Macaca mulatta: one gene and its partners. The protein of the gene in region 1 purifies or fractionates together with the protein of each later gene. This does not show direct contact. Links are inferred from orthologs where the notes say so. Each region holds a gene or a part of one and is shown in the gene's direction. Other genes may lie near its edges.

What was found.
Region 2: the proteins of SIN3A (region 1) and SAP130 purify together in Homo sapiens (affinity purification with mass spectrometry; 4 studies listed by BioGRID, with this or other methods). This does not show direct contact. The link is inferred for Macaca mulatta from reciprocal best matches to the Homo sapiens genes SIN3A and SAP130.
Region 3: the proteins of SIN3A (region 1) and ARID4A purify together in Homo sapiens (affinity purification with western blotting; 6 studies listed by BioGRID and IntAct, with this or other methods). This does not show direct contact. The link is inferred for Macaca mulatta from reciprocal best matches to the Homo sapiens genes SIN3A and ARID4A.
Region 4: the proteins of SIN3A (region 1) and SAP30L purify together in Homo sapiens (affinity purification with western blotting; 4 studies listed by BioGRID and IntAct, with this or other methods). This does not show direct contact. The link is inferred for Macaca mulatta from reciprocal best matches to the Homo sapiens genes SIN3A and SAP30L.
Region 5: the proteins of SIN3A (region 1) and ING1 purify together in Homo sapiens (affinity purification with western blotting; 5 studies listed by BioGRID and IntAct, with this or other methods). This does not show direct contact. The link is inferred for Macaca mulatta from reciprocal best matches to the Homo sapiens genes SIN3A and ING1.

Annotation. Positions count from the first base shown.
Region 1 is NC_133412.1:53,435,838-53,440,570, reverse strand, and holds part of SIN3A (paired amphipathic helix protein Sin3a), read left to right. Parts: intron 1-1,522; coding exon 1,523-1,761; intron 1,762-2,991; coding exon 2,992-3,175; intron 3,176-4,733. UniProt on the Homo sapiens protein: Acts as a transcriptional repressor. Corepressor for REST. Interacts with MXI1 to repress MYC responsive genes and antagonize MYC oncogenic activities. Also interacts with MXD1-MAX heterodimers to repress transcription by tethering SIN3A to DNA.
Region 2 is NC_133417.1:9,258,077-9,262,809, forward strand, and holds part of SAP130 (histone deacetylase complex subunit SAP130), read left to right. Parts: intron 1-1,040; coding exon 1,041-1,276; intron 1,277-2,717; coding exon 2,718-2,876; intron 2,877-4,378; coding exon 4,379-4,490; intron 4,491-4,733. UniProt on the Homo sapiens protein: Acts as a transcriptional repressor. May function in the assembly and/or enzymatic activity of the mSin3A corepressor complex or in mediating interactions between the complex and other regulatory complexes.
Region 3 is NC_133412.1:131,472,038-131,476,770, forward strand, and holds part of ARID4A (AT-rich interactive domain-containing protein 4A), read left to right. Parts: intron 1-111; coding exon 112-206; intron 207-681; coding exon 682-779; intron 780-1,313; coding exon 1,314-1,545; intron 1,546-4,606; coding exon 4,607-4,733.
Region 4 is NC_133411.1:163,319,489-163,324,221, forward strand, and holds part of SAP30L (histone deacetylase complex subunit SAP30L), read left to right. Parts: intron 1-2,301; coding exon 2,302-2,424; intron 2,425-4,629; coding exon 4,630-4,728; intron 4,729-4,733.
Region 5 is NC_133422.1:105,129,391-105,134,459, forward strand, and holds the end of ING1 (inhibitor of growth protein 1), read left to right. Parts: intron 1-2,139; coding exon 2,140-2,843; 3' UTR 2,844-3,974; downstream 3,975-5,069. UniProt on the Homo sapiens protein: Cooperates with p53/TP53 in the negative regulatory pathway of cell growth by modulating p53-dependent transcriptional activation. Implicated as a tumor suppressor gene.

The DNA of each region.
Region 1 (4,733 bases):
GGATCACGAGGTCAGGAGATTGAGACCACGGTGAAACCCCGTCTCTACTAAAAATACAAAAAATTAGCCGGGCGCGGTGGCGGGTGCCTATAGTCCCAGCTACTCAGGAGGCTGAGGCAGGAGAATGGCGTGAACCCGGGAGGCGGAGCTTGCAGTGAGCCAAGATTGCGCCACTGCACTCCAGCCTGGGCTACAGAGCGAGATCTGTCTCAAAAAAAAAAAACCAAGCATTTCTTTGTTACTTATGTTTAGTAAGGTTAGCTGATGAGTTAGCAGAGCTTGGCATCTGTTTTTGACAGAATGTTCCTATCCCCTCTCAACTGGTATGCTTCCAAATGAGAGGCAACTTCATTTCCCATTTATGACTACAAGGGCAAAGATGAAAGAAGTGGGGTAAGCATGTGTTTAAGATTTGGTGGGATGAGCGAGTTTGAAGGAACATGTTTACCAATTAAGATAGGTTAGTAATGCTTCAGTACAGACAGCTCCCACATCTGAGTGACTTGTAAAGCCAATGGGTTTAATTTCTAATCATTCTACATGTACATTGATGTTTAGCAGGGGATTTGGCATATCAGAATCACTTGGGGATTCAGGCCAAGGGATTGCCACCATTATGATTGTTGCTAGTCACTAGGAGGAAAAGAGATCTCAGAAGGATCTCACACCTTTAAATGCTCCAGCCTAGAAGTGATAAACATTACTTCTTCTCAACTCATAACAACTCATTTGTCAGAACTAGTTACATGACCCTATCCAATCATAAGGGAGTCAGGAAGTTAGTCCATTTTTTGTCGGTAATTGGAGAGCAAGAGGGGCCAGAAGTATTGACAAAATGATGACCACATTTCCAAAACAAGAAAATTTAGGGAACACTTCTGCAAACATTTGGTTGTAGACTGTTCATTTAGGAGTCCAATAAGAATTTAAATCATTACCCGCAGATACAACAGTGAACTCCTTAGGGTATGATAGTCACTGCTCTTATTATTACTGGATGTGGAACAAGGCTATTGAGTATTTTAGTATTTGAATATATTTAAATATTTCAAGTTAAAAAAAAAACTCTCAAGACAGAGCCGTCTTTTGGTATTGTTTTGATTGTTATTGTTTGTTCATAACGGATCTTAGCAATTCAGGAAAGTTCAGGGAAAAGTATCAGTAAAGTCATCTCTTGTTAGGTTCCTCCGGTCTAAGATCAGTAGTCTTAAGCAAAGCACACGGTGCAGGTGGTGGTGGTGATAACTACCGTTTATCCAGCTTCATCCTGTGGTTCTTATGTGCCAGGTATTGTGCTGAATACTTTATGTGGATTGTATAATTTAATCCAGAAATAGGCTTGTGAGAGTAATAGGTGCTGTTATCCCTATTTTGCTGATAAAGAAACAGTCTTATGTAGCTAGTAGGGCAGAACCAGGATTCAAATCCAAGGAGTTTGACTCCCTACCTTATTTTTCTAATCACTACTCTATTCTATTCTGATTTGGGTCCTGAGCATACCCTTCTTTGTCTTCCTCTTCAGCTTGATGTAGTTTTAGAGACCAATCTGGCAACAATCCGGGTTCTGGAAGCAATACAGAAGAAGCTTTCCCGCTTGTCTGCTGAGGAACAAGCCAAATTTCGCTTGGACAACACCCTTGGGGGCACATCAGAAGTCATCCATAGAAAAGCACTCCAGAGGATATATGCTGATAAAGCAGCTGACATCATTGATGGTCTGAGAAAGAATCCCTCCATTGCTGTTCCGATTGTCCTTAAAAGGTACCTGAGCAAATGTGCCCTTAGTGCTTTAGTGTGTACTTCATTACTGGTTCAGTGTCCCATTAAATAAGTCTCTCATTTTCAACCTGGTTGTCCCATGAGACCTCTCTTTCTCCCCAACCCTGGGGGAGTATTTTAAAATACAGAAAAGAAGATAATTACCACCCATGTTCCTGCCACGCTCAGGACTAACTGTTGTTAACATCTTTGTGGTTTTTTTGTTTGTTTGTTTGTTTGAGACAAGATCTCTCTCTTTCACCCAGGCTGGAGTGCAGTAGTAAGAACACAGCTTACTGCAGCCGCAACTTCCCAGGCTCAGGTGATCCTCCCACCTCAGCCTCCTGAATAGCTGGGACTACAGGAGTACACCACCACACCCAGCTAATTTTTATTTTATTTTTTTTTAATAGAGATAAGGTCTTGCTATGTTTCCCAGGCTGGCCTCTAACTCCTGGGCTCAAGCAGTCCTCCTGCCTTGGCCTCCTCAAAGTGCTAGCATTACAGGCACCAGCCACACCATGCCCAGCCCCATGTCATTATTGACCACACTGTAAATCCTTTGTTAGGAGCTTGGTTCTCTCAGTATCATCTGGTAAAAACTAATTCTTAGTTGCTGCACAGTTCACAAATACCCAGATTTTATTTGTCCTCCCTCATCTTCCCCTCAAGAGCTGGCACAGATTGATGGTTTCTTCTTCTTGCCTGTAGTATTTAACTTCTGGCTTTTGAAATATAGGTTATTCTTCAGTTTTAGTGCTGTTTTTTTGTCTTAGCCTGTTCTCTTCTGGTTTATTAGAATCAGTTCTGATCAGAACTTTCCAGACTGTATCCAGAGGAACATAACTGTGCAAGTTCTCTGCTCTTGGACTTCTGTGTTTCTATTAGCATTGTGAACATTTTACAAAGTCCTACAGCAGAGAAACAAGAACTCTTTTTGCAAGGAATACTTACATCTCAAAGGTATTCCCTGGAATGCTGTTTGATAAGTAACCATTCTAGGTAAATTATTTGACTTTGAGATAACTCATTTCCCCAAAATAAGTCTTAGATAAGTAATTTCCTCATGAAACAGAGTTCAAGACTGGTTTGATAACATCCCAAGTTGCCAATAATTTTGACAGACCTAATATAGCTTTGACTTTTCTTGAAAGAAAGTAAACCTGGCAAATTTCTTTCTTCTAAACCCTCTGAATTCCCATATGTTGTTTCCATCCCTTCCCACTTCACTAGGTTGAAGATGAAAGAGGAAGAATGGCGAGAAGCTCAGCGAGGCTTTAACAAAGTATGGCGAGAACAAAATGAGAAATACTACTTGAAGTCTCTGGACCACCAGGGGATCAACTTTAAACAGAATGACACAAAGGTCCTGAGGTCTAAGAGCTTACTCAATGAGATTGAGAGTATCTATGATGAGGTGAGCTGGGGTTTTCTACATCTGTGAGAGGACTCTAGTCTATGTTTAGCACAGCTTTGATTTCTGGAAATTACCTTTGTTAAATGCAGGTGAGACTCTCTAAGACCTGTTGATTCCTGCTTTATAGCTGTCATAGCCTTTTCTATTCCTCATTCTACTATTTTAAATCTAAACTTTACCTTTATACCTAAGCTGTTTGACTAGTTCCCTAGTTTACTATCCTGGTTTCAACTTATACCTCCTGCCTCCATTTTCCACTTCTCCCACTGCCTGTTTCCCTCAAACAATACCTTGTATTCATATAGTCCCATCTCTCCTTACTATAGCTTCAAAACTTGTCATTGACCACCAAACTCTTTGTAATCCTTGCTTATTCAGCATGCCTACTAGAACTATAAATAGTACTAGGAGCTAGGATCAGAGATGAATAAGCAATCAATTCTGGTTTCCATGGGCTCAGTTTTAGCAGATGGATAGAAACATAAATGCAGTGCAATTGGGAATTCCTGGAGTGGGGTGATCCTGAATTTTAAAAATAGTAAAATGAGCTCTTAGGTGAACTCAATCAGGCCGGGGACAGTGGCTCACACCTGTAATCACAGCACTTTGGGAGGCCGTGGCGGGCGGATCACCTGAGGTCAGGAGTTAAGAGACCAGCCCTGCCAACATGATGAAACCCCGTCTCTACTAAAAATACAAAAATTAGCCGGGCATGGTGGTTGCACCTGTAGTCCCAGCTACTTGGTAGACTGAGGTGGGAGAATGTCTTGAACCCGGGAGGCAGAGGATGCAGTGAGCTGAGAGCATGCCACTGCACTGTAGTCTGGGTGACAGAGCAAGACTCTGTCTCAAAATCAATAAAATAAATAAACTTAATCCTCCATATTTTGCTGATGTTACTTTGTCACCCTCCGTACCCCCACCCCAGAAGTAAATTACAGACCTCATATCATATCCTCTATATAAATACTAGTCCAGAATTTTGAAAGATAGTCCCACGGGGCACAGTGGCTTCCGCCTATAATCCCATCACTTTGGGAGGCTGAGGTGGGCAGATCACTTGAGGCCAGGAGTTCGAAACCAGCCTGGGGACATGGTGAAACCTCATCTCTAACAAAAATACAAAAATTAGCCTGGCATGGTGGCACACTTCTGTAATCCCAGCTACGCAGGAGGCTGAAGCATGAGAATGGCTTGAACCCGAGAGATGGAGGTTATAGTGAACCAGGATTGTTCCACTGCACTCCAGCCTAAGTGACAGAGCGAGACCCTGTCAAAAAAAAAAAAAAGAAAAAGAAAGATGGCTCCAGTTCTGTCCCACTCGCCCTGTAAGTCATTGATGTATAGAAGGTACCTGTATTTTGACATCAAACCACATCTCCGTCATTACCTATTTGTTTCTGGAAGAGGGACAAAATTATTGTTACGGTTTGGCCCTAAGTTTTGTTTTTGTTTTTTGTTTGGAGACAGAGTCTCACTCTGTTGCCCAGGCTGGAGTGCAGCAGTACGATCTCGGCTCACTGCAACTTTTGCCTCATGAGTTCAAGTGATTCTCCTG
Region 2 (4,733 bases), on another chromosome or scaffold:
TATTTTTAGTAGAGACGGGGTTTCACCATGTTGGTCAGACTGGTCTGGAACTTCTGACCTCAAATGATCCGCCCGTCTTGGCTTTCCAAAGTACTAGGATTACAGGCGTGAGCTGCCGTGCCCAGACCGCCACCACCTTTTTTTTTTTTTTTTTTTTTGAGACGGAGTCTCACTGTGTCATCCAAGCTGGAGTGCAGTGGCACAATCATGGCTTGACTCACTGCAGCCTTGACCTCCCAGGGTTAAGTGATCCTCCTCTCTCTGCCTCCAGCGTAGCTGGGATTACGGGTGCGTGCCTCCATGCCCATTTAATTTTTATATTTTTTACAGAGATGGAGTCTTACTGTGTTACGAAGGCTGGTCTTGAACTCCTGGGTTCAAAGGATCTGCTTGCCTTGGCCTCTCAAAATGCTAGGATTGCAGATGCGAGCCACTGCACCAGCCATACATTTTTTGTTTTGTTTTTTATTGGAGACAGTCTTCCTCTCTCGCCCAGGCTAGAGTGCAGTGATGCAATCTTGGCTCACTGCAACCTCTGCGTTTTGGGCTCAGGCGATCCTCCCACCTTAGCCTCCCAAGTAGCTGGGATTACAAAAAAAGATGTTTTTTTGTGTTTTTTTTTGTTTTTTATATTTTTGTATTTTTAGTAGAGTTAGGGTTTTGCCATGTTGGCCAGCACAGCGTAAAATATCTTTTTAATGTCAGGCTTTTATAACTTTTTAAGAAGATGTTTTAAATGAAATTGTCTTATACTCTGTATTGTACTTTTAACTATTTCAGCTCATTTTAGATGATTTTCAGGTAGTTTATTCATAAGGCTACAATATCCAGAATGAATTCTACATTCCACAGTTGTGGCTCTTCTGTCTGATGTCCATCAGGAGAATCCAGTGCCCAAATTGACCCTGTTAAGAAAACATCACAAGGAAGTGGCCACTTGGTCAATCCTGAGATTTAACTTCAGGTGCCGCTCTTGTTTGTGCCGCTATCTTACATTGGGAGACTGTGACATACTGTCTCACGTTTAATGTCTTTACTAGTCAATGATGAATCTGGTCGAGATTCTGAAGTCGGTGCCAGGGAGCACATGAGTTCCAGCAGCTCCCTCCAGTCCCGGGAGGAGAAGCAAGAGCCTGTCGTGGTAAGGCCCTATCCACAGGTGCAGATGTTGTCTACACACCATGCTGTCGCATCAGCCACACCTGTTGCAGTGACAGCCCCGCCAGCACACCTGACGCCAGCAGTGCCACTTTCATTTTCGGAGGGACTTATGAAGGTAATGGAGAGGGTTAAAACTTCACACTGAACCAGAGCTCAAGACTGGCTCATCTCTATAACAATTTGTACAAAATCTTAGGCTGTATGGCCGGGCGCGGTGGCTCAAGCCTGTAATCCCAGCACTTTGGGAGGCCGAGACGGGCGGATCACGAAGATCGAGACCATCCTGGCTAACACGGTGAAACCCCGTCTCTACTAAAAAATACAAAAAACTAGCCGGGCGAGGTGGCGGGCGCCTGTAGTGCCAGCTACTCGGGAGGCTGAGGCAGGAGAATGGCGTAAACCCGGGAGGCGGAGCTTGCAGTGAGCTGAGATCCGGCCACTGCATTCCAGCCTGGGCGACAGAGAGAGACTCCGTCTCCAAAAAAAAAAAAAAAAAAAAAAAAAAATCTTAGGCTGTATCTTAGGATCGTATTTCATTTTTCCTTTATGACCTATGAGTTCAGCACCTCTGTAACTCAGCCCTGATTTTCTGCAGTGCCTCGTCTTGTGCTGCTGGGCCATTGGCATCACAGAATCTTTGCTGTTATCCATTTTGATACTGATATTATTCAACCTATGGGCATGTTAAGTTAGATAAGGGACCCTCTTTTTTTTTTTTTTAAGCCAATCAGATTTTAGCAGTGGGGGCTTAATGACACTAATTTTTTTTTTTTTTTTTTCTTTTTGAGACAGAGTCTTTCTCTGTCATCCAGGCTGGAGTGCAGTGGTGCAATCTTGGCTCACTGCAACCTCCACCTCCAAGGTTCAAGCAGTTCTCCCGCCTCAGCCTCCCAAGTAGCTGGGATTACAGGCACACGCCACCACGCCTGGCTAATTTTTGCATTTTTAGTAGAGACGGGGTGTCACCATGTTGGCCAGGCTGGTCTCAAACTCCTGGCCTCAAGTGATCTGCCCGCCTTAGCTTCCCAGAGTGCTGGGATTACAGGTGTGAGCCACCACACCCGGCTGACAGTGATGTTGTAAGTTCTGATAACCCAGTATCATGGGACCAACTGGAGTAGCACTCTTCCTTAAGGTCTGTTTTAGCAACTGGTTAATTTGGGGGTTTCTGAGAATACCGCCTGTGCGTTACCTGGGGGTTCTGTTTCAGTTACTGGGAGTTTTGTTCAATCCACCCAGACTTGGGAGGCGGCATCATGTAGAAGAAAGGGTGTGGGCTGTGAGCCATACAGCTCTGGGCTTTGTTCCCAGTTCTTCTTACTGTGTGTGTGGCTTTGAGCAAGTCAGTTAGCCTTGCTTTGTATGTTTCTTTATCTGTGAAATAGAAATGCTAGTACTTCAGTGGAAACACTGTGATGCTAATAGATAAAATGTATAAAGCTTATGGCATCTTTCCTGGCACTCTCCAGGTTCGATTTGTGTACTCTTAATTCTGGATTGAGACGCATCACCAGTATGAGGCCATTGATATGTTTTGTGTGGTTTTCTGTTTGCAGCCGCCCCCGAAGCCTACCATGCCTAGCCGTCCCATTGCTCCTGCTCCACCTTCCACCCTGTCACTTCCGCCCAAGGTTCCAGGGCAGGTTACCGTTACCATGGAGAGTAGCATCCCTCAAGCTTCAGCCATTCCTGTGGCAACAATCAGTGGACAACAGGTTTTTCTTCCTTTTAATTTGCTGATTTTCAACTGAAATGCCAAACTATTGATCATGATTTATTGAATGCTAGCAGTACATTAGGCATGGTAATAAAAAAAGATTAAACACTCACTCATAACCTGCAAGGGAAGGTAGTAGGTTTGAGAGAGAAGGATAACTGTAGGGAGTAGAAGCCAGTATCCATAGTGGTCATTTAGCTAGAATTTATTGAGCAGCTACTAGCTGCTCGATTTGACCCTCAGTGTGATGTATAAATCTGGATAAAACAGTCCGTGTCCTTGAGTCCGGAGTGTGGTTTGTGTTTGATTTTAGCGTCAAGAACAGCCTCCCAGGGGTAGTGGTGGGCAGTGCTTCTCTGTGGTTTCTCTGAGGAGAGCAGATGGGCATCTTTGGGGTACTGGTAGGTAACCTCAAGCAGCTCTCTAGTTGCAAACTTTTTTTTTTTTTTTTGGGACAAAGTCTTACGCTGTCACCCAGGCTGGAATGCAGTGGTGGGATCTTGGCTCACTGCAACCTCCACGTCCCGTGTTCGAGCAATTCTCTTGTCTCAGCCTCCCAAGTGGCTGGGATTACAAGCGTGCGTCACCACGCCTGGCTAGTTTTTTTATTTTAATAGAGACGGGGTTTCACCATGTTGGCCAGGCTGCTCTCCAACTCCTGACCTCAAATGATCCGCCCGCTGTGGCCTCCCAAAGTGCTAGGGTTACAGGCATGAGCCACTGCACCTGGCCTTAGTTGCCAACATTTATTTTGAAGTCTTCTGTTTTAAGGCTTTTTTTGTGAAATTTTGCAATCCTATTCTGCTGTGTACTTGATTAATTAAATATTTAAAATTTTTTACCTGGGGAAAAAAAATAAATCTAAAAACGTTCCCTTCACGTTTTCAAGAAAAATTTATATTCCAAAGAGGTGTACTGTGTTTTTTCCTTTTGTCATACTGCTGAGTACTCTCAGAAGTACCAGAACCCTTAGCTGAGAAGCACTGTTCTCTGTGGTTTGGGAGAATGTGAGTAAGGGACATTTCAGGATTGAGCTGAAGAACTGGTAGCGGAGCACCTGTTGGATGCTAACTGACATTTACTTAGAAACACAAAGCTTAAAGAATGGATGGATGCAGTGGTATGTAAAGGAAATTGTGAGAATGGGAAAAAATAAGCATTTGGCCAGGACAGAAAAAACAAGTGTGAAAGGTAATATCACAGATGAGAGTTTCTAAAAGTAGATATCAAAGTATGTTATCTGTTGAAAGTATGTTATCTGTTATTATTTGGGCCTGCAGCAGTTGTGGGGTCCTCATACTTCTCACATGCCTGTTAGCACAGTTCATTATACAGTACAGCATGTAAAAGTAGCTCAAGCTAAATGTCCTTAGCCCTTTCCCTTGGGATACTCACTATCTAAAAGAAAAAACCTGACCCACATTTGGAGGCAGGTGACTTCCTAGAGGCAATGGCTAAGACCAAACCTGTGAAAATAACGTTCTATCCTCTTTCTCTCAGGGCCATCCCAGTAACCTGCACCACATCATGACTACAAACGTGCAGATGTCTATCATCCGCAGCAATGCTCCTGGGCCCCCTCTTCACATTGGAGCTTCTCATTTACCTCGAGGTAACGACTTGCAAGTTTTGTTCAAACTCTCAAAATGCCGTAGCAGATATACATTTGTTAAAATGTGTAACACAGAATGTGTCTAGAATCAGCTTGTTAAAGTTGCAGGACAAGTCTGCAGAATCGTGAACCAAGTAAACCTCTTTTATTTAAAAAGAAAAAAAGGCCAGGTGCTGTGGTTCATGTCTATAAACCCAACACTTTGGGAGGCTGAGGTGGTAGGTTCACTTGAGTCCGGGAGTT
Region 3 (4,733 bases), about 78 Mb from region 1:
ATGTGCCTCTAATTAATGAAATTTGGGAAATTAGAAGTTGACAGCTTTGTTTTCAAATTAGTATTTCTCATTTGAATAAACATTTTATTTCTACCTACTTACATTGAAAAGGTACTCCAATCAACAAACCACCTGTTTTGGGCTATAAAGATCTCAATCTCTTCAAACTCTTCAGACTGGTTTATCATCAGGGTGGATGTGACAATGTAAGTATAACATTGCTATTTGAAACATGTATTGGTGTCATAAAAAGGTAAATTATCTTATATTGCATTATATGCACATTGGATAATAAATACATTTCCTTAATGAACATAGAATATTAGGGTAAAGATTATTTCCTGGCCAGGCATGGTGGCTCACACCTGTAATCCCAGCATTTTGGGAGGCTGAGGCGGGGTGGATTGCTTGAGCTCAGGAGTTCGAGACCAGCCTGGGCAACATGGCGAAACCCTATCTCAACAAAAATTAGCCAGGTGTGGTGTCGCATGCCTGTGGTCCCAACTACTCGGGAAGCTGAGGTGGGAGGATCACTTGAGCCCAGGAAGTCGAGGCTGCAGTGAGCCCTGATTGCGCCACTTCACTCCAGCCTGGGCAACAGAGTGAGACCCTGTCTCAAAAAAAAAAAAAAAAAAGATTAATTCCCTTTGCAAATGTTAACATAAAAACTTAATTTTCCAGATTGATAGTGGTGCTGTATGGAAGCAAATTTATATGGACCTTGGCATTCCTATTTTGAATTCAGCTGCTTCCTACAATGTAAAAACTGCTTATAGAAAGTAAGTAGTATAGTTTATTCATCAAAGAATATATATTTATAGGAAATATTTTCCATTTACTTTGTTAACAAGAATACATCAATCTAGGAACATTAAAGTTAGAGAAAGTGTATAAAAAGGTTTAGGTTGACAGATACTTGTGATTGAAAGTTATTTCATTGCATCAAATCTTATTTACTCCATTTCTTATGTTGTCCTGATTTCCTTTCCAAAAGCAAGACGCAGACAGTGTCTGCGATTATGATACATATTATAGAGCTACATCTTTTGGGGTGAACAGCCTTCATATCAAAACTTACGATAGTTATGTTTAGTTATCACAAGCTGAGACGCCTCAGGACAGCATTTTATGATCAGTTTTTCTGTTTATAATTCCACCTAAAACACCAAGAAAATAGTAACACAGAAAATAGCAACACAAAATTTTTTTTTAAATTACTGGGCTTTACTTTTTAAAAATGTGTTTAATAACATGTGAATTCAAGTTAAATGCAAAGACTGTAAGATTTCTTAAATGAAATATTGTTTGTTTAGGTATCTGTATGGTTTTGAGGAGTACTGCCGTTCGGCAAATATTCAGTTCAGAACTATTCATCACCATGAACCAAAAGTAAAAGAGGAAAAAAAAGACTTAGAAGAATCAATGGAAGAGGCTCTCAAATTAGATCAAGAAATGCCTTTAACAGAAGTGAAGAGTGAACCTGAGGAAAATATTGATTCAAACAGTGAAAGTGAAAGAGAAGAGATAGAATTAAAATCTCCGAGAGTGAGTTCTTAATACTAGTTTTATCTGGTTTAAGTATTACTTAAAATTTTTTATTATAGCCATTTTCATATATACACAAAAGTACTACAGTGAACTTAGCTTATTTTCCAGTATTTAATGCTGCTTAGCTAACTACTTTTTTCTAAATATATTGTATATTATTTTCTCTACCTGAAAACCCTTCCTTCTGTTTTCTGTTTATGTTCGATCAAGTCATTCTCATCTGGGATGAATCTCAGATATTCCTTTTCCAAGTCTTTTGCTAAAGTATCACCTCATTGAAGGCTATCTCGGTCACCTTATCTGAAATTGTAACCTGCCTCCTCTCTTTAGAACTCTCAGTCCCTGTAATGTTGCTCCTATTTGTAATTTACTTATTCTGTTTATTGTGATTATCTATTTTGCGCCACTCTACACAAGAATTACACTCCACGAGGTCAGGGATTAGTGTTTATTTCGTTTATTGACAGATCCCAGGCATTTAGAATAGTGCCTGGCACGTAATAAAGGCTTATTAAATAGATGTTGAATAAATGAATCACCTCTTTATAGTGCCTGTGCCCTGAACTAGATGGTATCTTGTCTTTCTCTGTAACTTTATAGCACACTGTGTGGCTCTAGTGATGTGTACATGTACGCTGGTTGTATCTTCCAACTCTGCTCCTTCTTTCCTTTAATATATAAAGTCTGTTTAGGAATTGTCATCTAGCATTTGGATCAGTGTCCAGTAATGTTTACATAGTAGGATTTACCAAGTTTTAGAAAGAGAAAGGAATTTACCGCACCGTCAAAGAAGTTTAACTAGTATAATATGTCTTATTTTTTGGTGGAATCATATTTAATGAAAAAGAATGTGAAATTTCTTTGTCTTATAGTCCAGAAACCAGTTGTTAAAACTGTTCATTCTTTCATGTAGTAAATGGAATCTTTTAGTGAATGTCATGAAGTTTCCAAATTGGTTTTCTTTTCTTTTATTATTTTTTTTTAAAATTGTGGTAAGTACATATAACATAAAATTTGCCACCTTAACTCTTTTCAAGTGTACATTTCATTGGCATTAAGTACATTCTCACTGTTGCATAAGCGTCACCACCATCCAGTTCCAGAACATTTTTACCTTGCAAAACTGAAATTCTGTACCCATTAAACAGTAACTCCTCATTCTTCCCCCAACCCCTAGCAACCACAATTTTACTTTCTGTACCTATGAATTTGATATTCTAGGTATCTTTATATAAGTGAAATCATACAGTGTTTGTTTTTTTGTACTGGCTTATTCACTCAGCATAATATCTGCAAGACATTATGTTGTAGCACGTGTCAGAATTTCCTTCCTTTTTAAAGGTGAATAATATTTTATTGTATGTATTGTGGACATACTTTCTTGTCATTACCTAAAAACCTTCCTCGTCCTACATAAAATATCTGCAATGTGCTGTCTAGTATAGATGAACCATAAATTTACACTCTCCTAAATTTTCTCCCAATTTTTTACTATTTTTAAAAGTGCTGTAATACATTTGCTTGTAAAAATATCCTTATCACTTATCCACATATATAAGCCAGGCTTCTAAAAATGGCATTTCTCACCTGTAGTCCCAGCTACTCAGGAGGCTGAGGCAGGAGGATCACTTGAAACCAGGAGGCAGAGGTTGTAGCGAGCCAAGATCACACCACTGCACTCTAGCCTAGGTGATAGAGCGAGACTCCATCTCAAAAAATTGAATAAATAAATAAAAATGGTACTTCTGGGAAAAAGGCATACAGACCCAAGTTTTATAGCAGTTGTTTTCATTCATTTACCTACAGATATTTTAAAAGCACCTGCTAGGCCGGGCGCGGTGGCTCACGCCTGTAATCCCAGCACTTTGGGAGGCCGAGGCGGGCGGATCACGAGGTCAAGAGATCAAGACCATCCTGGCCACATGGTGAAACCCCATCTCTACTAAAAATACAAAAATTAGCTGGGCATGGTGGCGTGCGCCTGTAGTCCCAGCTACTCATGAGGCTGAGGCTGGAGAATCGCTTGAACCTGGGAGGTAGAGGTTGCAGTGAGCTGAGATCACACCACTGCACTCCAGCCTGGCGACACAGTGAGCTTCTGTCTCAAAAAAAAAAACAAAAACAAAAACACCTGCTATGTGCCAGCCACTGTGTAGATCTGAGGAGATGGAAGTGCCATCTTGGAACTTGCATGCTAGTGCTTTATGATAGAAAAAAATTTCTTCTTTTCCTGCCTTTGAAGTGTAAATAGCACATAGCCAGCAACTAGGGAAAACATTTGCTTACTGAGATATTAATTGTATCCTAATGCTCCCTAAGTTGCCGGCTGTTTATCTGCTTTATTCCAAGAAGAGGAGAATTCTGCCAGTGTATAAAAGTTGTCTTGAAATAGAACCTAGGAGATAGTGAAATTGCTCACCAGTCATGGTCACTTCAGCATTCAGTGGGCTAGATAGAAGCTAGTGGGGGTAAAACATATTGCTGTTGGCCCAGCGAACTCTCCAGATACTCATTCAAAGAAGTCTCCTCACTTTTTTTGCCATTTATGCAATTCAGTCCTTTTAAAATGTAGTCATCCACAAATACAGTGACAATGTAAATTTTGTCTTACTAAGCTGTAGAATTAGAGACCACAGAGCTTTTAAAGAAGCAAAATTCAGGGGATTTGCTTTATTATTGTTACGTTTTATCATTAACATTAGATAATTTATTTTAAATTTTTATTATAGTTGAGAATAAAAGTGAGATAAAATGACGTAGTAAACAAAGGAGACAACTTTTATTTCTTTTTTGTTGTTGTTTCCTTTTTTCACTCAAACAGATTCTGACAGATATTTCTTAAGTAGTATGTAGCCAAAGTAGACCTGGACATAATTAAGTAATTTATATTAGTTATTCTTTTACTTTCAAAAGGAAGAGAAATGTACCTTTGAGTTGGTTTCAGGGCCGTGTTTCAAGCCAGAGTCATTGCTGTGAAGGTTAAAGGAAAAGATGTTTTTTCCTGCTTTTTTCCCCTTTATAGTGATAGCTATTTTAAAGCTTTTATCACCTCTACTAGGGACGAAGGAGAATTGCTCGAGATGTAAATTCTATTAAAAAGGAAATTGAAGAAGAGAAAACAGAAGACAAATTAAAAGACAATGATACAGAAAATAAGGATGCAGATGATGACTATGAAACTGCAG
Region 4 (4,733 bases), on another chromosome or scaffold:
GCCTGAGCCTAGCATTAGTGTTCCCAAAAGGTAATACTTCTGAAGGAGTAAGGTTTCCAGGTGGAATCATTCACAATTTGTTTTAAGGTGGTGTTGTGGAGTCATTATTTCTGAAAGGGATTCTATTTCTTTCTCACAGGCTTGGGCAGGAATTCAATTCCAAGTAACTGCTATGTTACAATAATTTTTAGCTATTGCAGAAAGTGAAGGAAAAAAACCTAGAGCCTTTGCTACCACCTCCTGCCCCGACCCCACTCCCAAAGGCCACTGAGCTCTGAAATTTCTGAAAACCAGTATGTACATGAAAAGGGTTAAGGAGAAAATTATTATTTATCTTGTAAGAGAGTATAGCAGAGAACCTTTTTAAATAACAGCACCAAAAATTCAACTCAGGCTGTTTAACTCATTTTATATAGACTTTGGCAGTGTTCTGTGATCTATTAAAATATTAATACACCCCCAGTTGACATTTCTGCTTTTTTTTTTTTTTTTTTCCCCCGGAGAAAAGTGGAAGTTGAGAATAGTATAAAGGAAAATGCTGCGGTAGGAAAAGACATGTACTAGGGGGGCAGAAGGCCTGGGTGACCTTGGCCAGGTCATTTCCTCACTCTGGATGGCTTCATTTTTACCCTTTTAGAAAACGGGATTGGGGTCAATGGGATTGTACTAGTGATTGCTAAATTCTCTTACAACTAGGATTCTGTTATTCTATTGTCCTGATCTGAAATCTCCCAGCCGAAGCTTAAGGAAGCCACCTATTCTCTCTGTTCTCCTATGAAGTTTGTTAATGTGAACTTGAGCAGTTGATCTGAGTGGTCTCGCCAGTCTAGCTAACGTGCAGGACCAGCTTCCTCTCAGGGATGCAGAGTGGGCTTTGTTGTGCTTTCTTCCTGGAGAAAAGCATGTTCAGTATTATATACATCAGCTAGGTGGGATTCTTAGGGACAGTGGCATGTGCTGTGTTCGAAAGTCCGAGTTGAATCTGACAAAGCTATCCCAATTTGTAACCACGTAAGTGGCTTTCATTAGCCTAAGCCACTTTTAGATATAGGAGATTTCCTATATTGGTACATCAACATTTTCCGAGTACCTCCCGTCTGCAAGACACCATCACGGTATAAACTTAAAAGTACTCATGACTCACTAATCCAGCCACATGAAAGTGATCATTCATCTGAATGAACAGTTTTCATTATTTTCTCCATGAAAAGGTCTGAATTAATTGATGCGATTTCCTGCCAGCTTACTTTTATCTTTAAGGATTTAAGGAATAAACTCAAATTCAGAAGTCTCTGCAGAACATTTGTGAAACAGCTGTTTCACTATCAACAACCCCAAGTCATTTGCCAGGCATTCAGTTTCTGTAAGGTTTTTCAATGGCTCCTCCAGCCAGCCATGGAGGATTCTTCATGTCTTAGCTGTTGCTGCCACCTTCACTTACCTCCATCCTGTATTAGAAAATCTGTAGTATCCACCTTCTTGTATGTGGTTCTACCTTGTAAGAATTTCCACATCTTTTTCCACTTTTCTTTGTGGATCAGATGTGAGATAATGCAAGAATTATAAATTGACACATAGAAACAAAGTTTTTCAGAGAGTTATTATCCTACAATAGTAGCTATTGTAAGTGTAAAAATAGAGTGTCCCAAATACCATTGCCACAGTCCCTTGTGTCCTGCTTTCCTCCTCCCCAGGACAGTGCATTCCAGCCCACTATAAGTTCGTGACTCCTACAGGTCTTCTGAAAATGTCGCATCACTCCCTGCTTCCTTGAGGGACTCTGTCTTGTCGGAAGGAAAGTCTAAGCTGTTCTCATGCCCACCGCCCAGATGCCTCACTTTTTCATTATGCTCCTACATTACATGGGCAGCCATCATCACCCAACTGACACTGTACCCTGGGCCTCCTCACTCTTTCTGTCATCCTCCATTGGAAACTCTAAAGTCTTGGCACTCCTACCCATCTGGAATGCTTCCTGTCTGCCTAAAGTCCTCCCTTTTAGTCAGGGCCCTTCACCCTGAGCATCTCTGTTGCAGGAATCTCTTCCTTTGCTGAATCTGTACCATTTACTGTTTTCACCATTCACTGGAGGCTTGGTGTATGATACGCCACAAAGTGTGATGTTAGCGTTCTCTTGGTGTTCTTCTGCACCTCAGTAGTGAGCTTCTGGGAGGCCTACATCTTGTCTTCTGTCTATCTCTCCAATGCCCTGCAATGGACGGAAGCCCCACAATTTGACAGATACCTGTTGCTGTCTCCAAGGAATTGGCCAACTCTGACTTTGATTTTTCTGTCCGTCAGGTAAGGCACCTATATATCTGTGATTTTCACAAAAATTTCATCCAGAGTGTCCGAAATAAAAGGAAGAGGAAGACAAGTGACGATGGTGGAGATTCTCCCGAGCACGACACTGACATTCCTGAGGTAAAGGTCAAAGAAATCAATTTGCGGAAGCTGGAAAAATGGATTCTAATCTGATCCTCACCTCTGGCCTGGTCTGCTTTTTGTATTAAGAAGTAATTTTAGTCCCCTTTGTTTTGCTGTGGATTATTTGAAAAGTGAATTATAGTAATACAGAATCTGAGAGCTAAAAGCTTGGATACCCACTGGTCAGACTGCCCCATCATTTTATGGACAGGCACAGAGAGCCAAGGTCAGGTATATAGTTTGGAGGCTCTAGTCTGGGGCCCTTTCCAGTAGACCACGCTGTTTTTCTGCAAGACGCCCCTGACAAATGCATAAATACAACCACAGTGTCACTTTTTAAAAAACCTTGTTTAAAACCTTTAGAGAGTGTGTAATGGTTTGGGAGAAGTCTCTTCCCCAGAAAATGAAGATGTAGGTCATCAGTTCATACCAGCTCTGATTTTCTCTCACTGGTTTCTTGACACCTAGTCCAGGCTGTTCCCAAGGATCCATTTCAAAGTTGACTAAACTGGACCTGGTTTTCTCAACTCTAGCACTGTTGACATTTGGGGTCAGATAGTTTTTGTTGTGGGGACTGTCCTCTGCATTGTAGGATATTTAACAGCATGCCGCAGCAGCATCCCCTCATGGGATTCTACCCATCACCATCCTGAGTCATGACAATCGAAAAGTGTCTCCAGACATTGCCACACCTCCTTTACAAGACAAAATCGTCCTGTGTTGAGAACCACTGCGCTAGACCATAAGACCTAGGCTTCTCAAACTGGAAGGCCGCCTTCCCTTCAGGTGCCTGTGTCTATTAAGTGAGGCTTCAGGAAGGAATATTGGATTTTCTTTCTACTAAATTGTTTTCACTCAAGACTCAGCAAAAGAAGAACCGTTTATAGTGTACATTGAATATTTGACACATGAATATTTCATAAGGCAACCGCCTGTTAGCACTCAGAGTGAAAATGACTGTGTAGGAATAGAAAGAGTAGGCGGGCCTTTGTCTGCAGATGTGGAGGAAACCGTTGAAAATCTGGCCCTTTCCCTCTGCCCCTCCCTGTGTCCCCTTTTCCAATGTTGGTTTACAGAATCTTGCTGTTGCTTTTAGCATTATTGTTATTTTATAAAGAAATGGATGTATTCGATTTCTAAGTGGTTTTCACCAAAAAAAAAAAAAAAAAAGGTTTTAAGGAATGTTTTGAAAAGAATGAAGGACTTTGGCCCCTCATATTGATCATTCATTTTGTTTTTAAGTGCTCTCCACCTGCCTGAAGCAAGAACAGCTCTTTTAGAGGCAGGTAAAGGCAGCCCAACTTTATGGGCCTTCGATTTTTCATGACTATGCAGCTTTCCTCTCTTCCTTTGTTAGAAACAAAAAGGGGGGGTCCCTTCCCCTCTGTTATCCAGTCATCTGCAAAGACCCCAACCCTAACCTGCTGGTTTGCACATTCACTACAGTAACTTTTGAACTTTCTCTGGAGGGAGGTTAAGGATTCTAACACCAGAAGGCTGGGCCTAGGAAAGGGCTATTTGAGGATAACAGTTCTTCCCACTGCCCTCCTTTGTGCCCCTTTATCTGGTCGCTGCCTCGTTCTGGCCTATCTTCCTCCAGGATGTCTCTGGTTTTTGCCTTTGCTCTCCATCTTTGGTGTCCCTTCTAACGTCACTGCCTCTCCAAAGCTCAACCTCTTTATCTCATTCTGCTTGTTGCTATAGCATCTCCCTCTGTGTTCCCCCATCAGTGTTCCCAACAGCCACCACCAGACCCATCCTGTGCCATCACCCTCTACCCTCTGTGATAGCTCCTTCTGTTTTTCTAGATGTGCTACCATCCATTCTCACCTTTTAAACCCATCACAGTTGCCTGTGACCCCCTTGCCCATCTGTGCCTCTTCCAGCTTTCTGTGCTCTGATCTTTTCTCCTGTTCCCTACCCTGTTTCTCAGTGCCTTATCAGACCCTGCTTCTCCTTAGCTTAAGCTTTACCTTCTCCACCAGTTGTGTGAGATCAGCCCACCCCAGCCAGAACTGTTTTTCCACTGTTATTTTTGCCCTCCCAACCAGTTACTAGTCCTCAATGGACCATTTCTAAGACCTCTTTTGAAGCCCTCCCCATCCTCACCCCTACCTTAGTGTAGTGCTAGGCACATAGTGGGCTCTTGGTGAGTCCTGGTTGGTCAAGTGATGGATAACATTTTTCTCTTCTTCTCCCTAGGTTGATCTGTTCCAGCTGCAAGTGAACACCCTACGACGTTATAAACGACACTACAAGTTGCAGACCAGACCAGGCTTCAATAAGGCCCAGTTAGCAGAAGTAGG
Region 5 (5,069 bases), on another chromosome or scaffold:
ATACTCTGGAAAATAATACCATTTAGAGAAGCTTCAGCGTTGGCCCAACTTCTTATGTTTACTCTAGTGTTAGGTATATATCTTATAACTATTTGGAGATAAGATCTGGAAAGGGAGGGGGTACCATTTTAGACAATCCCTCCCACTCCCAGCCCCTCCCCATACCCTTCCTAGTTTACAAGTAGTATTGTTGGCCTGGCACGGTGGCTCACTCCTGTAATCCCAGCACTTTCCGAAGCTGAGGCAGGCGGATCACGAGGTCGAGAGTTGGGAGACCAGCCTGACCAACATGGAGAAAACCCTGTCTACTGAAAATACTGGGCGTGGTGTTGCATGCCTGTAATCCCAGCTACTCGGGAGGCTGAGGCAGGAGAATCGCTTGAACCTGGGAGGCCAAGGTTGCAGTGAGCCGAGATCGCGCCATTGCACTCCAGCCTGGGCAACAAGAGCAAAACTCCGTCTCAACAAAAAAAGTAGTATTGTTGCCTTGTTTAAAGAGACTGCAAAAAGGTTTTAGGAGAATAATCTGGTACTGTTTAATTTAATGGTTATTGTTTGAGGAAAAAGAGCTCTGGAATTTCTTTGTGAGTAGCCTTTTGGCAAGACTGTTTACTGCCCTTATTTCAACTAGATTTTTTTTTTTTTTTTTTTTTTTTTTTTTTTTTTTTTTGAGACGGAGTCTCGCTCTGTCGCCCAGGCTGGAGTGCAGTGGCGCGATCTTGGCTCACTGCAAGCTCCGCCTCCCGGGTTCCCGCCATTCTCCTGCCTCAGCCTCCCGAGTAGCTGGGACTACAGGCGCCGCCACCACGCCCGGCTAATTTTTTTTGTATTTTTAGTGGAGACGGGGTTTCATTGTGTTAGCCAGGATGGTCTCGATCTCCTGACCTCGTGATCCGCCCGTCTCGGCCTCCCAAAGTGCTGGGATTACAGGCTTGAGCCACCGCGCCCGGCCTCAACTAGATTTTTTTAACAGCTTTTGTTTCTTGAGAAATTGCCTAATTACACTTTAAAATCATATGCACTGTCCTCTAACATGCCCAAGAAGTTTTATATTTAAATACTGAAGAGGTTTTCTTTTCTTTTTGATGGCATTTTAAAGTCCATTGACTTTAATAGATGTGAAGATGTTTTTGTTTAAGCAGTAGATGCAAAAGTAAAATCTACCAGCTTTGTTTTAAAGCAAGGCTAGTACATTCACTGCAGTTAAAAAATAATAATAATGACCCATTACAGTTGTGCTCCTGTAGTCCTAGCTACTCAGGAGGCTGAGGTGGGAGGGTCACTTGAGCCTGGGAGGTCGAGGCTGCAGTGAGCCGAGATTGCACCACTGCACTCCAGCCTGGGCGACAGAGACAGACCTTGCCCCTAAAATAATAATAACAACAGTCATAATAATAATAAAGCAAAGCTAGGTTTTTCTGGATTATTGTGGCAGAACTGTTCTTGCTTTCACTAATACAGAGGAATAACATGCTAGAATAAATGTGGGGACTGAAACTGAGGACCTAACACAAAGTAGCCTGGACCTTTGCTGTTAACCCGGTTCTTTAAATCATAGAGAGCTATTATATAAATTTATACACGTTCTCTAATTTAACAGGATATTCTAGATGTTGGTATGTTAAAATAGAGACCTTTTTTATTTGAAATATTCAAATAATTTATATTTTATCGTTTGTATATTGTGTATAATGTAATAAATACCATGTTTATATATAACGTTATATGTATATTAATAATTGCATTCAAATAGAAACATTTGAGTAAAAATGATGGCAGTATAGGACATAATCATTAATAGAAAGTATTAATACAGGTTGGGTCCCGAGCACTGCACTTCATTTAAATGTTTCCTCTTAATGGCTTCGGGCATTGTCACCCGTGCGTAGGAACTGTTCTGTGGTTCTCTCTGGGATGGCTGGAGCGGCTCCTCTTCCTGTGGGAGCTCTTCTGGCATTTGCATTTAGTTCCAGGGCACAGGAACAGAGAGGCCCTGGAGGGCCTGTGGCTGGTGGGCTGGGCAAGCCGTGCGCTGGCCCCTGGGCCCCCTGCCAGCCCTCTCCGTAGACCCGGGTCCGGGGCCGTGTGGGTTGTCCCGATGTCCTGCTCGCGAGTGATGCCTGTCCTTCTTGCCCCCAGAGATCTTGAAGGAGCTGGACGAGTACTACGAGCGCTTTAGCCGCGAGACGGACGGGGCGCAGAAGCGGCGGATGCTGCACTGTGTACAGCGCGCGCTGATCCGCAGCCAGGAGCTGGGCGATGAGAAGATCCAGATCGTGAGCCAGATGGTGGAGCTGGTGGAGAACCGCACGCGGCAAGTGGACAGCCACGTGGAGCTGTTCGAGGCGCAGCAGGAGCTGGGCGACACAGCGGGCAACAGCGGCAAGGCTGGCGCGGACAGGCCCAAAGGCGAGGCGGCAGCGCAGGCTGAGAAGCCCAACAGTAAGCGCTCGCGAAGGCAGCGCAACAACGAGAACCGCGAGAACGCGTCCAGCAACCACGACCACGAGGACAGCGCCTCGGGCACACCCAAGGAGAAGAAGGCCAAGACCTCCAAGAAGAAGAAGCGCTCCAAGGCCAAGGCGGAGCGGGAGGCGTCCCCTGCCGACCTCCCCATCGACCCCAACGAACCCACGTATTGTCTGTGCAACCAGGTCTCCTACGGGGAGATGATCGGCTGTGACAACGACGAGTGTCCCATCGAGTGGTTCCACTTCTCGTGCGTGGGGCTCAATCATAAACCCAAGGGCAAGTGGTACTGTCCCAAGTGCCGGGGGGAGAACGAGAAGACCATGGACAAAGCCCTGGAGAAATCCAAAAAAGAGAGGGCTTACAACAGGTAGTTTGTGGACAGGCGCCTGGTAGTGAGGAGGACAAAATAAACCGTGTATTTATTACATTGCCGCCTTTGTTGAGGTGCAGGGAGTGTAAAATGTATATTTTTAAAGAATGTTAGAAAAGGAACCATTCCTTTCATAGGGATGGCAGTGATTCTGTTTGCCTTTTGTTTTCATTGGTACACGTGTAACAAGAAAGTGGTCTGTGGATCAGCATTTTAGAAACTACAAATATAGGTTTGATTAAACACTTAAGTCTCAGACTGATTTCTTGTGGGAGGAGGGGGACTAAACTCAACCTAACACATTAAATGTGGAAGGAAAATACTTCATTTAGCTTTTTTTTAATAAAAGTAATATTACTTTATGAACAAATTTTTTTAATTGGCCGGTCGCCAAAAATACAGCCTATAGTAAATGTGGTTCTTGCTGCCATGATGTATATCCATATAACAATTCAGTAACAAAGGTTTCAAGTTTGAAGATTATTTTTTAAAAAGGTAAATGGTTAAATTTTACATGATAGATATTTTATATTTTGGCCTGTTCCCCAAATGGCCATTTTAAAATGCTTGGGTACACTTCTCTTAAACAAGCGGTCTAGTCAAGGAACCTCAAGTCATGCTTTTGCTATCACGAATCATAGTGTAGCCATCTTTAATTTATATCAGGTGTATAAATGTACATTTCCAAGTGAACTTGCACTTGCTATATTATGATTGGAAGTGCAGTCAGCAGATGCTGTTGTGAAGCTAATGTCACAATTATGTGCAAAGGTGTGCTTCCTGCTGTATGTGAGCTGTAAAAATGTTACGTGAAGAAATAAATGAAACTTGGCCAGTTTGTTCCTCTAGTAGTATATTTAATTTTGACATAAGTAACTTTTAAAATTTGTCTTAAAAATTTATACACCAGCAGTTTAGACGAAGCCTTAAGTAAATTTTGTATTATTGTTCTCACTTATTAATAATGAAGTTACCTAATTGCCAGCAAATAAATATGTGTCAAAACAGAATCTGTATTCAGACCCTGGGTCAGGAAATTACTGCCCACTTGTCAAGTCCAGTCCACCACTTGTTTGAACATTATATGGAGTTTAAATTCTAGTGTCCATAAATAAAGTTTCGGTGGAACAGAGCTGTGCTTATGTGCGTATGTATTGTCTGTGGATGCTTTTGCAAAATGGCAGAGTTCATTAGTTGCAACTGAGACCTTTTGAGTTGACAAGCCAAAACTATTTTCAGGCCCTCTGCAGAAAGAGTTTGCTGACCTCTGATTTAAACTGGCATCTAACATTGATCTGCCCACATATTGAAAGGGTCAGTGGAGTTTTCATTTGTTTTTTATTTTTTTGAGACGGAGTTTCGCTCTTGTTCCAGGCTGGAGTGCAATAGCGCGATCTTCGCTCACTGCAACCTCCGCCTCCCAGGTTCAAGTGATTGTCCTGCCTCAGCCTCCTGAGTAGCTGGGACTACAGGCACCTGCCGCTACGCCCGGCTAATTTTGTATTTTTAGTAGAGAACACAGTTTCTCCATGGTGGTCATGGCTGGTCTCGAACTCCCGACCTCAGGTGATCCACTCACCTCGGCCTTCCAAAGTGCTGAGATTACAGGTGTGAGCCACCACGCCTGGCCGGAGTTTTAATTTCTTTCTTTTTTTTTTTTTGAGATAGAGTCTCGCCCTGTCTCCAACCTGGAGTGCAATGGCGTGATATTGGCTCTCTGCAACCTCCGCCTCTCGGGCTCAAGCGATTCTCCTGCCTCAGTCTCCTGAGTAGCTGGGACTACAGGTGCGTGCCACCATGCCCAGCTAATTTTTGTATTTTTAGTAGAGATGGGGTTTCACCATGTTGGCCAGTATGGTCTCGATCTCTTGACCGTGATCCACACGCCTCGGCCTCCCAAAGTGCTGGGATGACAGGCGTGAGCCACCACACCCTAAGTGACGCATGGTTCACTTTAACTTCGTACGTGGTAAAATCAGTTTCTTTCCATGATCTGTTTCACAGTCTCTGTGAAGCTGCCATGAAGAAGCAATGAGTGATGACATTATAGAAGCTAAGTATACGGCATATATTTATTGTAAGTAAAACATTAAGTTTGCTGATTGTTTACTTGGGATAAACAATTATTGTGAACTTTATTTGTGCTGGACATAAGTGGCTGACTATTTTCCAGTGAAATTCCATCACAGAGGGGTACTCTGTAGAGAAATGCAAACTGTAGTTGGTC